Stegostoma tigrinum: one gene and its partner. The protein of the gene in region 2 binds, or shares a complex with, the protein of the main gene of each other region. Links are inferred from orthologs where the notes say so. Each region holds a gene or a part of one and is shown on either strand. Other genes may lie near its edges.

Region 1 (7,692 bases), on a different chromosome or scaffold from region 2:
CAATGACCAGTAACAGGCACAAGGTACAAAATAAGTTTATCTGCTTTCATTTGGAACAGAACAGCTGGTTCCACTTTATTGCTTAAAAAAAAAAGTCGCCCTCAACATCAACTGATTAATGAAAACCACAAATATCCTATATATGAAAGTCCACCAAATTTAAGGCTTCCACATATAAAAGACAGGCAGAGGAACCTAAAAATGTAGCAGACACCAATCTCATAATTTAGATCATAGAAAGACCACTGGAGTTAGAAGAAGCGTAGAAAGCAGAGGAAAAAAATTTGAAATCATACGCAACTTAGTAATGAGACAGTTTAAATCTTCATATTCAGGAGATGAATAGTTACTGATTCTTTTAATTAATAATAAAATGCATTAATTTTCATACAAAACCACTTAAAGCAAATCCAGTAGAAAACAACTCAAATCACAGCTGGGAAAGTATCATTATTCCATATCACTTCTGACAGTGCACCTCTTAAGACCAGAGACATGACAAACATTTGCAATGACTGAAACTCTGTAGGATGCTGAAAAGCTGAAACAATACTGGAGAGAAAAAGCTCAGAACTCAGTTCTGAAAAGGAGTCACAACAGACTTGAAATGTTAACTCTCTCTCCACAGGTGCTGTCAGGCCAGCTGAATTTCCTCAAGTATTTCCAAGACATTCTGTGCTCCCTTAATGATTCATAAAATTCAGTTATGTTTCTCAGAATCACTATAGAGAAAGAATTGCAGTATTTGCTGATGTTGAGGAAACTCAGCTGATTTCTATCCAGCTGCACTTCGGATCAGATTCAAACTCTGGACAGACGTCCATGTGTGTACAAACAGGTTTGTTTTGCATACTGATACAGGAGGGGATCTGTGACAAAACAATTACAGAAGGCTTTGTACAAAATAAAGTGGTAGATTACTCAATGTAAGAGAAGCACAACAAAACAATTAATCCAGTAGCACAGGTAGACGTTTTCAATATGTTGAGAGTTGACACTTTATCCTGTAGTTTAAAAGATCCATTCCTTAGTAGCAATAAGATTTCCAATTGTCCACATTCAGTTTATCATCTTGTAGCAACAAGCATGAAGTTTGGCTTGACTATTGTCCTGCAGTACGTTGGTTTCACTGAACTTCATATACTATCCAGTTTACTTAGGACAAATGGAGCTGAAAAACAGAGGATATGATTGAATATAACTGGCAACATAACATCTAACAGAGGCAATTATGGTAAGGTGGACAAGTTGAGTTTAATGACTACATTGGCACCTTTTGTTTCAGTACTTGTACATAACCATAACTTGGAAAAACCTAATGGTTAATATGCCAAGAGCACTGTCAATTCATTTAGGCAATGGATCCTACTGACCCCAAGTAACATTATGAAAGATGAAATAGTGAGATTTCTCACTTTACTGTACAATTTGTTACTACAGAATGTAACAATTATGAGAATGGCACCATTATAGGTAAGGAAATTACACTCCATGTAATTTCTGAACAGTCAGATCACAAGAACCTCAGATGCTAGATTCAGTCAATACAGTGTGGAGTTGGAGGAACACAGCAGGTCAGGCAGCAGAGGAGGTGGAGAGATGACATTTCAGGCACAGACCCTTCATCAGGGCTGAGGAGGGGTAAGGGACCTCAGAAATAAATAGGGGGACTGGGGGAAGGCAGGTGGGATAGCAATAGGTGGATGCAAGTAGGGGCTAGTGAACAGGGGGATTGAGTTTAAGAGTCGGGAGATCTTGTTGCAGCTCTATAAAACTTTGGTTAGACCGCACTTGGAATACTGCGTCCAGTTCTGGGCGCCCTATTATAGGAAAGATGTGGATGCTTTGGAGTGGGTTCAGAGGAGGTTTACCAGGATGCTGCCTGGACTGGAGGGCTTATCTTATGAAGAGAGGTTGACTGAGCTCGGTCTCTTTTCATTGGAGAAAAGGAGGAGGAGAGGGGACCTAATTGAGGTATACAAGATAATGAGAGGCATAGATAGAGTTGATAGCCAGAGACTATTTCCCAGGGCAGAAATGGCTAGCACGAGGGGTCATAGTTTTAAGCTGGTTGGTGGAAAGTATCGAGGGGATGTCAGAGGCAGGTTCTTTACGCAGAGAGTTGTGAGAGCATGGAATGCGTTGCCAGCAGCAGTTGTGGAAGCAAGGTCATTGGGGTCATTTAAGAGACTGCTGGACATGTATATGGTCACAGAAATTTGAGGGTGCATACATGAGGATCAATGGTCGGCACAACATTGTGGGCTGAAGGGCCTGTTCTGTGCTGTACTGTTCTATGTTCTATTGGTCAGTGGGACGGGTGGGGCAGATGGGGGTGGGGCAGGTGGGGGTGGGGCAGGTGGGGGTGGGGCAGGTGGGGGTGGGGCAGGTGGGGGTGGGGCAGGTGGGGGTGGGGCAGGTGGGGGTGGGGCAGGTGGGGGTGGGGCAGGTGGGGGTGGGGGTGGGGGTGGGGAAGGAGAAGGAGATGGACAAGTTGCATCAGGTCAAGGAAGCAAGGATGAGGGGGAGGGTTGGCGATGGCATGAGGCCCAGGGACAGGGAGATTTAGAAACTGGCGAATTCTTTGTATAGGCCATCGGACTGTATGCTCCTGAGGCAGAATATGAGGCGTTGTTCCTCCAGTTTTGCACGTGGCATCACTGTGGCAGTGGAGGCGGCCCAGGAAGGGGCATGCCACCCCCCCTCCCACTCCTTGGGTGTTAAAAGGGTTAGTGCCGAGGAGCAAATAAAACATTATTCCTCGCAGCTCTGACTTGGGAGATTCACCCAGAAACCTAACAAACCTGTCTGGGGATGGGATGGTCAGCGTGGGTGCAGTTCCCTCCTGTTCCCCACAGTCTCAGCACTCAGTGCAGCTTCTCCCTCACCCTGCACGGCAGGACCCCCACTCCACCATCCTGCTCCCTCCCCCCCGCGGCTTCGCCTGTTCCCCGATATTGAGGGTGGGCTACGGGGGGAAATCACACCCACTAGAGGCAGGGCAGACATTCCCGTTAGGCCTGGGAGGGCCGCGGCACCCCTGCGCCCTCCACCGCATGATACTCACTCGCCCGCAGTACGGCCACGTAAATTAGGAAATTGCGGAGCGAGCGCAGCACGTCCGCCCGCATCTTCTTGCGCAGTTCCTCCGGATCCATCTTCGGGCCAAGCGCCTCCATCCTGAACATGGTGGCGGCAGCAGCAGCGGGTGGCGGACCCTTCGCCGATTTGCCCCGCCCAGGCTCACACGTGACCCGCCTGCCTCCAATCACCTGGAAGAGCAGGCGCGCCGGCGGGGTCTCGAGGCGACGCCCCTCTGGCCCCGCCCCTTCTCGGGCAAGTGACTGACAGCGGAAATGGGCGGTCCCGCTCGGAGTGTGGACCCACGTGAGTTAAGTCTGAGAGCCGGGACGAGCCATGTGCTCCTCTCCCCCGCCCCACTCCTCCTCCCCTGGGTGAGGAAAGTGAATGTACATGGCCAGTAGACAAGACACGGAAACAGGTGGGGAGGCAAATAGTGTGGGCGTATAAAAGAAACAAAGTTGCTGGAAAAGTTCAGAGATAATGGGAACTGCAGATGCTGGAGATTCCAAGATAATAAAATGTGAGGCTGGATGAACACAGCAGGCCGAGATGCTGCTTAGCCTGCTGTGTTCATCCAGCCTCACATTTTATTATTATGCTGGAAAAGTTCAGCAGGTATGGCGGATGATGCCAGACCTGTTGAGCTTTTCCAGCAACTTCTGTTTTTGTTCGTGATTTACAGCATCCGCGTTCTTTCAGTTTTTATTTAGTGTGGGCATATAATCAGGTTAAGTGATTGGGCAAGAGCTTGGCAGTTGGAATATAATGTGGTATAATAATATAATAAATATATGAGGCTACTTTTGCAGGATGATCATAGAATCCCTGCTGACCCTCAAAGCATCCCGTTCCCCTACAGCCCACCTGATCTACACGCCCCTGAACACTATGGGCAATTTAGCATAGCCAGTCCACCTAATCTGAACATCTTTGGGCTGTGGGAGGAAGCCCATGCAGACAGGAAGAACGTGCAAACGCCTCTCTGATGAAGGGTCTATGCCCGAAACGTCAGCTTTTGTGCTCCTGAGATGCTGCTTGGCCTGCTATGTTCATCCAGCTCCACACTTTGTTATCAAGGGTGGAATTGAACCTAGGTCCCTGGTGCTGTGAGGCAGCAGTGCTAACCAGTGTGGAGGAGATGAATATTATTTAAAAATAGAGAAAGCTATTACAGTAACCAGTATTGTGTAAGCTTTGAAATATATTACAGTATTTCCATTTGAGAAAGAGCCATAATGCATTCAAAAATATAGAAAAAATGTGTTGTAAAATGCTTTCCAATGTGGTAACACTGGGATTTAAATCTGCAGCCAACTCTGTCAGAAAAATAACAGCAAAATTTGGACATTTGAACAACCTTAATGCTTGCTCCCCTCCATTCATTGGAGACAGCCTGTTCAAATGCAGATGATACTAATTCTTCTTTCAATTTCAGCCTTTGGAGTTGGGATGGTAATGTTTTAAAAACTGTATTCAATAAGAATGCTTGGCTGAGTTCCAACACCCAGTTGGCAGTTGACAGCTCTTCAAGGTGCTGACTGACAATTTTACGCGGTTGTGATAACATTGTGTATCAATGGTAATATGTTTGAATTAGAATTTTAATACATTGTCAAATATTTTTTCTTTGCAACTGCCTTTAAACTAATCCCTACACCTACACAGCCCCTCTCACCTCTGTCCAAGGCCTCAAACAATCATTCCAAGTCCAACTGGGATTCACCTGTACATCATCTAACCTAGTCTACAGCTTCCATTGCTCTAGATGTGGTCTCCTTTACATCAGAGTGACCAAGTGCAGACTCAGTGACTGACTTACGGAGCATCTGCATTCTGTATGCTCCATTCAATACCACCTCCTGGTTGCTCTCCCACTCTCTTGGTGACATGACCAAATTGGGCCTCCTCCAATGTCACAATGAGGCCACACAACAATTGGACGAAAAACACATTATCTTGCTTCTCAGCAGCTTACAGCCCAATGGCCTCAATATAGAATTCACTAGCTTCAAAATCTCCCCACCCCTAGCCCCGTCCCACGAGCAGCCCTTGCTTTCATCACCGCCTCCTTGACCTGACATAATCTGTCCATCTTCTTTCTTATCTTTCTGCTCCACCCTTCCCTCTGATGAAACTCTACAATTCACCTATCACCATCTTACCTACCTTCCCCCAGCATCACACCCCCTCCTATTTACTTCTGAGCTCCGTACCCCCTCCCCAGTCCTGATGAAGGGTTCCGGCCCGAAACGTCGACTTTCCTGCTCCTCTGATGTTGCCTGACTTACTGTGTTCCTCCACTTCCACTCTGTATTGACTGCATTTAAACTCATTTTGAATGTCTTGCATAGCCTCTGAGGATTGTATGTAGTGGATACTGGGTGAATGGCCATGACAGATAAGGGAAGACCATGTGTATGCATATATAAGGGTGAGGTTTCACATTTTAAAACATGTTGGGAGCACAGCTGGAGTCTTCAGAAATAGCGGTAATCCTTCTAGCCTGCTTGGCTTTGCACCCAGCAAAAAAAAATCTGGCAAACACAAATCCTGTGTGGAAGAACAACAATCCCTGGCAAAATCCCACGAGCTTGGTCTGCAATTGTGGGGAAGGTAGGAAAGTGCACAAATTGGCTTTTCAGAACCTATCTGAAAGTCCAAACCCAAGTTTGAGATCAATAATTATGGTACATTTGAAGCCATGTATGTTCCTTCATTTGTGCTGCAGGGACTTCTTGTGAATATGCAGTTGATCTCTGTAGTTAGACTTTGAATATGGGTTTACTATCACAATAGTGCCTTCTGCTCTGTATCCTGTCTCCCTCTGCTGAGCGCATCATGTAACTGTTGTAGTTGGCAAAATGTAAACAAGAGAATAGAAACTCTTTGCAGAATTTCATTTACAAACTTGCAATGTGCTTGTTACTGCAATCCTGCATCTGCTTTTGAAATCCAGCATGCAATTTCACACAGATGATGATCTTATAATGAGTGCATTAACCTTGAAAAGGTGTGCATTTGTAGTTGAAAATTCTGCTCACCTAATGGCTCAGATAGTACTGAGAAATGAGTGACAATTTGCAGCCAAAGACCTCATTATTCTCTTGGTGAAGAGATGGCTCCAGGAGAGAAGTTTATTTCAGCTGTTAAGAGGTGTAAGAGGTTCAAATTGTGGTCCCTTGCTCTGCCTGCACCCCACAAGGGAAAAAAATTAGATTTGCTGTAAGCATTCTTTCAGACTTACATTATTTTAAACACTTCAGTAGCATTCTGCAACTCCAAACAGCAGCTTGACCAACAGAGAATGGATTGTAAGGTTAAATCAGCCCATTTTATTGGGTATATGTGGGGAAATGGTAATGGATGGATCCCATTTTGTGGCAGGTTCCCTTGTTTTTGATAGGCGGCAGGAGGGGAAGGCCCCAGCTACCTCTGGAGTGTCCCGAGAGGAGATTGCTGAAGGGCTTTTTGAGTGTGGTTCCTCCTCTGGTGGCTATCCCTGGGCACTGCTTTGTATCCTGGTGGGGACGGGGTCATCTAGAGTGCACAGAAGGTGCCCCATCTCCACGTTGCCATGCTACAGGCCTGCCGACCAGTGGCTGGGGCAATGGATAGTGGGCGCATGCAAGCAGATCCTGAGGGGGCTGGGCCTGTCTTTCCTTGGAAATCGCCAGTTTATCTGTGGATACAGTTAGACAGTTGCAGGAATCGCTGCAGCTTCTGGTAAATTGGGGCCATTCCCTCCCACACACCTGCTGCTGTTCCTCCCAGTTCATTGTGGTCGAAGTTCCTGATTCCCCGCACCACTGGGTCCTGTCCTGCTGGGGGCCGTGTAGGTGCCTGGCCTCTGGCAAGGCCAACATCTACTACTCATCCCTAAATGCCCAGAGAGCAGTTAAGAGTCAACCACATTGTTGTGTCTCTGGAGTCACATGTAGACCAGACCGGGCGAGCATAGCAGTTTCCCTGAAGGATGTTAGTGAGCCAGCTGGGGTTTCCAACAATCAACAATCACCACTAGACTCTTAGCTTCAGACTTAAAAATTGAAATCAACTTCCACAATGCAAACCCAGGTCCCCAGAATATTACTTGGGTCTCTGATTAACATTCCAGCGATATTACCACCAGGCTGATGCCTCCCTTACATGGCTATGTTCTCCTGGAATGAGAGAAAGGGAGGGGAGATGCTGCAGGCAATAGTGAGAATGGTGACGAATGAGGGGAGAACAGAGATAGAGTGAGTGTGAAATGGCAGCAGGAAGAGTGCAGCACTTAGCTTGCTACAGTGGACAGTGTCACTAACGAACAAAGAACATGCGCTGACACCTGATATCTTTCTAAACAAGAAAAGCCTTTAGCCTCTGCGCCTTCTTACAGCATGGCTGTCAATTCCTTCGGATGGTGGTCACCCACATAGTACTGACCCACATGGCAATCTTTTACTAGAGTGGTCCCGTTTAGTTGGCCGGTAGGACCTGGTTGTCTCAGCAACCCTACAGGGGAGACAGGTCCTGGTCTCCCCCTGTGAGGGGCATTGAGTAGTAGAACGTCAGACCACCCTCTGTCAGTCTTAGTCTCTGGGACCCACACCAAACAGTTGCCATGCC
Region 2 (7,234 bases):
AAAAGACAGAAGTATTTTAAATTGAAAGCACTGCAGACAAATTATTGGAAGCAAAAGAAATTCCAATTGCAAGTCTCGTGCCACATCACCAGCATATGGTTATCTTCCACTTGGCTCAAACAACAAATTGTGCATTTCAATGTTTGACTTACATTTATGTTCCAAAGCATTTTTAGAGCAAGTGGATAGCTGGTTTCTCCTTCAGGTACCTTCAGGGGGTAGTTGGTGTCTTCCTCGAAGGCCCTCAGGAGGTAACTGCTGCCTCCACAAGAAACTCTCAAGGGGTTGCTGGTGTCTCCTTCACAAGCCCTCAGCGAGTCTGTTAACATTTCTTTTTTCAAAATCACAAAACTCAAACTTGAGTTTTCCTGTGTAATCGCTACCTTCTTTCTTTCTCCAGAATCCTCACCAGAGACACACTGACCTTCACTCTTCACCTGCCTGTTAACTACTTCATCTTTCTCCTTTGTCGTGATCTTGTCACTTGCTTTTGTTTTGGGTACTTCAGGGATAAAGGCCTTGTACACAGCTGCATTACACCCCTTTCCAATGTTGTATCCAATCTTGTAATCTTCAAATCGATATCCACTCGTGTGTGAAGGCATGGAGTTTTCATACTTGATTTTCTTCCTTTTAAACAATGTCTGGCAAATGGAAATAATTCAACAATTATTCTCATTAACTAACCAAATATATGCAAATAAGTGCACATTTATGCAAATTGGAACTTTTTCAAATGTAGTTATAAAGAATGAACCAAACCTCCATTCAGTTTTGAGTAGAATTGATTTTAAAACAAAAACAAAGCTCTGCCAAGAAGAGATCCGCCATTAATATGACTCCACCAAATTCTTCACCACTAGCGAACAGTGCAATTCTCCAGGGCTTGCTTAGGAAATTATGAAGCTACGGCTTCATTGTCAGACTATGAAGAAAGAAAGACTGACATTGTGGTAAACTCCTACGTTTCATAATAATGTTGAATGTTTAGGAACATAGAGTCCCTCAAATCTGTGCTCCCATTCTAGATTATGACTGATCATCCACCCAAAAACCATTTTCCAATACTATCCCCATATCCCAAGATGTTATTAGTACGAGCTTCCTTGTGGTAGAAAACGAATTATATCAAGCAAGTCAAAACAACGCTCACTGATGTAGCAGAAATTTTGCTATTTGGGCATTTTGTTGCTCAACTAAGTCTTATTTTGTCTCAGTTTTCTAATTCTCCAAAAGGTGTGTCCTCTGTTAACCTATTGGTTCATGTTTACAATTGGCAGTGTTAAATAGTGACAGATCATATTTGAAAATTAAATTTAGGAAACATTTTACTGATTTTTAAAAAATTTTTAAACATTTTTATTTGCCATATCTCCACTCCTTAATCTCATCTTTCTTTTGCTTTCTGAACATAATTGCTCAGTGAATTCAATATTAAAACTTACACTTCCTGGTTCAAACTTTGAAAGTGTCAATCTTTCTATTTCTTCTCGTGTTCTTCAGTACTCAAATTCTCTGTAGGATATTGTGTTGTCCATTTCTAAATCACACATTTTTTATTGCTAAAGCTCATACAAAGTCTGTAGGCAATTTTATGTCTTATGCACGGCTAGGATGAGAGGTTGAGGATAAGAGGTAGCAGATTTAAAGAGAGAGGAGGGGAAAATTACTTCTTTCAAAGGGTTGTGAATCTGTGGAATTCACTATTTCAGTATGCGCTGGATGCTGGGACATTGAGTAAATTTAAGCAGGAGATAGACAGTAAATTGGCTAAATGGTTATGGAGAGGACAGAGGAGAGTAGAGTTGAGACCAAGAAGAGATCAGCCGTGTTCCTATCAAACGGTGGAGCAGGGTCAAGGGATTGAATTGCCTATCCCTGCTCCTTGTTCTTCTGACATTTTAAAAAAATTTGCTGGGTAGTTATTGGGATATGATTGCACAGCATCTATTTAATAAAATGGACCAAAAGAGCCTAGACCATCATATCAAAGTTTAAATGGAAGTTGACCGTCAAAATTTGGTGACGTCCAAACTGACAGAGAGCTTAATCAGGTAAACTACATCAGGTGCATGTCAGAGATCATAATAAAAGTTTAGGTAAGAAAGGAGAGCATTCAACTTGGGGCTTTCGCCTAAAATTGACGTTGAGAAAATTAGCTTCCAACACCACTATCACCTACAGCGAAGCCGGCGAAAAGTCAGAGATAACGGGAACTGCAGATGCTGGAGAATTCCAAGATAATAAAATGTGAGGCTGGATGAACACGGCAGGCCAAGCAGCATCTCAGGAGCACAAAAGCTGACGTTTCGGGCCTAGACCCTTCATCAGTCCAGCCTGTCTCTGCCTCCACATTTTATTATCCGGCGAAAAGTCAGGCGGCTGTTAGACAACAGCAAGACGGAAAAGCAGCATATCGCAAGGAGCATTAATCTATTTGTTCAAACGATGCCCGGACCGACGTTTATTTACCTGGATCTCCTCGCAGGCAGCGATGCTCGTCCTCACCTCCTCCACCTGCTGTTCGATGAAGCCCAGGCCCAGGCCGAAGGCCAGCAAAGCACCGCCCGGCCCGCGGAGCTGCCAAGACGCCCGGCGCTGTAGCTGAGCCGCTAGGCCGCCCAAAGACAGGCGGAAATAGCGGTAGCGGGCGGGTAGGACGGCTTGGAGCGGCTGCTGGGCCCAGGGTTGCACAAAGGCCGCGCCCGCCTGAGCCCGAGCTCGAGCTGCGGGATTGACGAGGCGCAAGGCCGAGCGGCTGAGGTCCAGGCCGCGGGCCAGGAGTCGTCGCACCGACATTTTGAAGGTTTAAAACCTCCGATTTATCTTTTCAACATTGTTGAAGATAAACAGCAACCGTTTGAGACGAAAGGGAACGTTAAATGTTACCAACCGGGAAATATCACCTTCAAAACAAGCCCGGTAACCATAGCAACAGTCATCATAAACCGCCTCCGAACTGGGCAGTTACAAACCAAACACCAGCTTTATTTTCAGCTGCAGATCCGCCCCTTCAAAGACCAATGAACACAATAACATGGAGACAGCGTGGTCCACTTCCAAGGTATTTACGATTTTGTTGCTTTCCCATGAAGGCCAGCAGAGAAAACTAGGAGAAAATATCTTCCAGAAAATCTCAAGCCCACAAGACATGGAATTAGCACTGACACAAAATTTGGGAGAGAAAAGGCCAACCTCGAAGCTTGAAAAATAGTGAACAGAACACCCTCTACGAAAAGTAAAAAATAGCAGTGATGAAAACATTGGATGGGATGGAAATTTTGGGAAAAGATGACCAACAGCTTGAAAAACAATGATAGAATTTCCATAAAAGCCCACAATTCAAGAATATCCGTTCTATTACAGATACTTCGCCATACAAAGTTGATGTCTCTACCCAGCATTGTTAAGCACGTCCTCTAGACCCATATTTTGCTTCTTAATAATCTATTAACGCTCCCCATTATGTTTTGCTGCCATGTTTTCAGCTCAGTTCCACAACTCAGCTTCTTGTCTCTCTCCTTGCGTAACCCTCCTTTTTATCCGGCTTTGTACTCGCTTCTAAACTGTTAAACCTCTTATCTTGTTCTCATTATGATAAGTGATCATTGACCTGAAGCTTAACTGCACTTATCTGTACTCTGATGCTGTGTAACCTCCTCAGTGCTTTCAACGATTTTGTTTCATAGCTTTACCTTTTAATGACTTGGAAAATGAAACAAGTACCAGCAAGCCTCAAAGGAGGAACACAAACATTAAAAACACAGATCTGGTTATGAGTCCTTTAAGGAGGGAACTCCTAGGGTTCATACCCTCATGGAAAATTTTAAGTTCACATTTTACAGTTGAAAATTCTGGTTACAACAACTCAGATTTATATAGTCACTTGGCGGAACAGAATCTGAGTATGATTGTAACACCAGCAGGATGGGTTCAGTTGTCATACTAGCTGAGGTTACCATGAAGGTCTGTCCTTCTCAACCTCTTCCCCTTGCAAGGTGACTCACAGGGTAAGCCATCACCGATCATCTCTCTCTTGAGAAAGCAGTACTGTGGTCTTTGGGACTATGGCGACTTTGCTCTGTGGGGAGTCGAGTAGCTTACTTGGCTGGCTGGATTGCGATACCAACATGTGAATTGAATTCAAGTACTGCATGAGGTCACTATGAAGGTCCCATCTTCTTGAGCTCACCCCTTGCCTGAGGCGAGGTGACCCTCAGGTTAAACTACCGCTGGTCGTCTCTGTTTAATGAGCGAGCAGCCCTACGTCCTTTGGGACCAGGGTAACAACTTTATTACTGCAAAAGGAAACATGCTGTTGAAATTAGAGATAATGGGAACTGCAGATGCTGCTTGGCTTGCTGTGTTTATCCAGCTCCACACTTTGTTACGCTGTTGAAATGTTTTGTCCTGCAGTCATCATGACAATTACAAGAATATCAAATTTCAAACGGAGCAACAATTTATACTACATGGGGGGGGGGGGGTATAGATTAGAGTTAATTGCAATTTTCTTTTACCTGGGATGGGGTATTTCAAAACTAGAGGGCACGTTTTTAAGATGGGAGGAGAGAGATTTTAAAAAGCCATGAGGGGCAATTTTTTATTTTACAAAGAGGGTAGTTCACGTGTTGAATGAATTTCCTGAGGAAATGGTGGTTGTTGGTATAATAACAACATTTAATAGACATTTGGATAAGTACATGAATAGGAAATGTTTGGAGGGATATGGACCAGGACCAGGCAGGTGGGGCCAGTTTAGTTTGGGATTACATTTCGCATGGACTGGTTGGACTGAGGGGTCCATTTCTGTGCTGTATGACTCAATGACTCTATGCATGGAAAAAGGATACTGATTGTTTGGCAAGTAGACGCTGACTGAGGTGTTTACATGGAGAATTCCCCTAGAGAAATGTTGTTCCCTCCCCCCAACCTTTTTGGTTTGTTGAAAAAGGCACAATATCTGCAGGGTTTTATTTTGTTTTGCTAAAAGCTACATCTATTCATACACAGGACTCTCAAAAAGCCTATTTCTTCCCCACATTCAACATTTCCTTCTTATTTATTGCTCAACCCAACCCCTCCCCTTCTTAGTTGTTACCATCCTACCTCTCTCCACATTTATCACTTATTCATTGCCATCCAAGTACTACCACCGTTATCCCCTTCATTATCTCTCTCCCCTGCTCTTTATTCACTCCCACTACCCTTTATTAATGCCCATCTTCCCTTCACTATCTCCACCTCAAAGTGCGGATATCCATTTGCTCTGTATGTAGAAATGAAAGGTACTACTCCTCTGCATTTACTTCACTCAAACAAACCTCTTAAATTAACAGCATAACCAATGTCATCAGTATCTTTAAGCATAGAGACATTTAAACAATGGTAGGCACATGGAATGGGAAGAGGAGGTTTTGGTAAACAACCTAAATATCTCCTGTCAGCTAGTTTCGTAATAAAGAAAAATCTTGTATCAGCTGTAGGTCAGTTGATAGTACCCTTATCTCCCAAGACAGAAGGTTATGAATTTCAGTCTCATTCCAGGATGCAAGTACATAAGTTTAGATATCAGATCGTTATTACATTGCTATTTGTGGGAGCTTGCTGTGTGCAAATTAACTGTTGCTTTCTCTACATTACAATAGTGACTAAACTTCAAAAAGTACTTAGTGGCCATAAAGCATTTTAATTCATCCTGAGGTCATGAATGTGCTATAGAATTGCAAGTCTTTATTATCAATTTTGAGGTAACCCTCCTGTTTTTTTTTCTTCTATTGTGGGTGTTTCTGGCAAGGCCAGCAATTGCTGCCCATCTCTAATTACTGTTGAACTGTGGCTTGCTCGGCCGTTTCAGAGGGCAGTTAAGAGTCAATTACTTGTCTGTATGTCTGGAGTCAAATGTAGGCCATTCCAGTTAAAGGTAGCAGATTTAATTCCCAAATGGACAATTGTGAACGAGATGGGTTTTTATAACAAATTGTCATGGTTACCAATACTCAAACTGGCTTTATAATCCAGATTTATTCACTGAATTAAAATTTCATCAGCTGCCATGGTCGGTTTTGAACCTCAGAGGATTAACCTGAGTGATGATTACCAGCCCAGTGGCATTACCATTACTGCACTAAACATAAACACCAGTGCTGCACTGCAAATTTCCAAAATGAAAGGCAAATATGTACCGTGAGAAACATAGGTCATCATTCAGGTGTTAAAAATAAATTACCCTACATACGAGGTATTGTAGTGGATTTCACTAGCTTATTTTGAGAATACACTTGCCTTTTTTGGCATGGTCCCCCTATTTCCCATTTCTTTCTGATCTTGGCTTTAGTGAGCCCTGCTTTCAAACTTCTAGTTTCCAGCTTCACCTTTGTGATCTTGGTCTCCCATTCACCCCTGTCTGGGCTTTTTACTCTTCTGTTCCTTTCCTTGTCCTCTGGTCTGTTGATCTCCTGGCTTACTTTTGAGGTTTCCCATCCCCCTTTCCCAGGAGAATTAGGACGTCTGTAGCCATTTGTCATATCTTTCGGAAATGCCCAAATCAGTTTAAATGTATGAATCCGATTTCAAAGTATTGACTTAGCAAAGTCCCACACAGAGCAAATGAGATGAATAACCAGTTATCTTGTTTTTGGTCACATCACTCACAGGAGGATTTTGTACAGGACACCTGAAGAACTTACTTATTCTTTCATTTATGTGCTTTCGTATCCACTTAAATCACCTGGACAGGTGATAGAATCTATCTAATTTGTCTGCAAACAACACTTTCCTTTAGCATGTTTTGTTTTTGGGCGGTGTCTTGGAAGGTTTTACAGTGCACTACTCAGTGCAAAGGATATAGCTAGAGACCAACTTTTTCAAAGTAGTTCTTTATTTACATTATGTTAAATACATACATTCTAGCAAAGCACGCAACCTGGGTTGTTGCTCCTTCTTCAGAAGCTTATGTGATCATAACATTATCAATAAGTAGCTTCCTCTGTATATGTTCAATAGTTAGTGTTAGAAATAACCCTTTGCACTACATCTTACCTCTCTCCTGTTCAATTATTTTTCTCTCTGCACAATGGAATTCCTGCTCTTCCTACTCCTGTATACTACTGCACTGGAATCACATCACCAGCTCAAGCTCTGAATTAAGCTTGAATGTACAATCAAAGGGGATCTAATTTTGAGATCCCAATATGTAAGTCAGTTTTTACCATGATTAAGGACAGATGCAGAG

The links.
Region 1: the proteins of pink1 (region 2) and tomm5 are in contact, whole or in part, in a cryo-EM structure (PDB 9EII), measured with the Homo sapiens proteins. The link is inferred for Stegostoma tigrinum from reciprocal best matches to the Homo sapiens genes PINK1 and TOMM5. Residues at the interface, in NP_115785.1 of Homo sapiens: Gln484, Ala488, Gln491, Ser495, Lys496, Pro498, Val502, Lys520, Leu522, Lys523, Leu524, Met527, Glu565, Cys568, Gln569, Ala571, Leu572, Leu573, Cys575, Ser576, Trp577, Ala579, Ala580; in NP_001001790.1 of Homo sapiens: Met1, Phe2, Arg3, Ile4, Gly6, Leu7, Ala8, Lys10, Leu11, Asp12, Pro13, Glu14, Met16, Lys17, Arg18.

Annotation. Positions count from the first base shown.
Region 1 is NC_081356.1:12,772,061-12,779,752, forward strand, and holds tomm5 (mitochondrial import receptor subunit TOM5 homolog), read right to left. Parts: upstream 3,272-7,692; 5' UTR 3,189-3,271; coding exon 3,068-3,188; intron 1,172-3,067; coding exon 1,137-1,171; 3' UTR 331-1,136; downstream 1-330.
Region 2 is NC_081381.1:30,930,830-30,938,063, reverse strand, and holds the start of pink1 (serine/threonine-protein kinase PINK1, mitochondrial), read right to left. Parts: upstream 3,137-7,234; 5' UTR 2,800-3,136; coding exon 2,473-2,799; exon of another isoform or gene 2,246-2,472; intron 896-2,245; exon of another isoform or gene 769-895; coding exon of another isoform or gene 763-768; intron 645-762; coding exon 153-644; intron 1-152. UniProt on the Homo sapiens protein: Serine/threonine-protein kinase which acts as a sensor of mitochondrial damage and protects against mitochondrial dysfunction during cellular stress.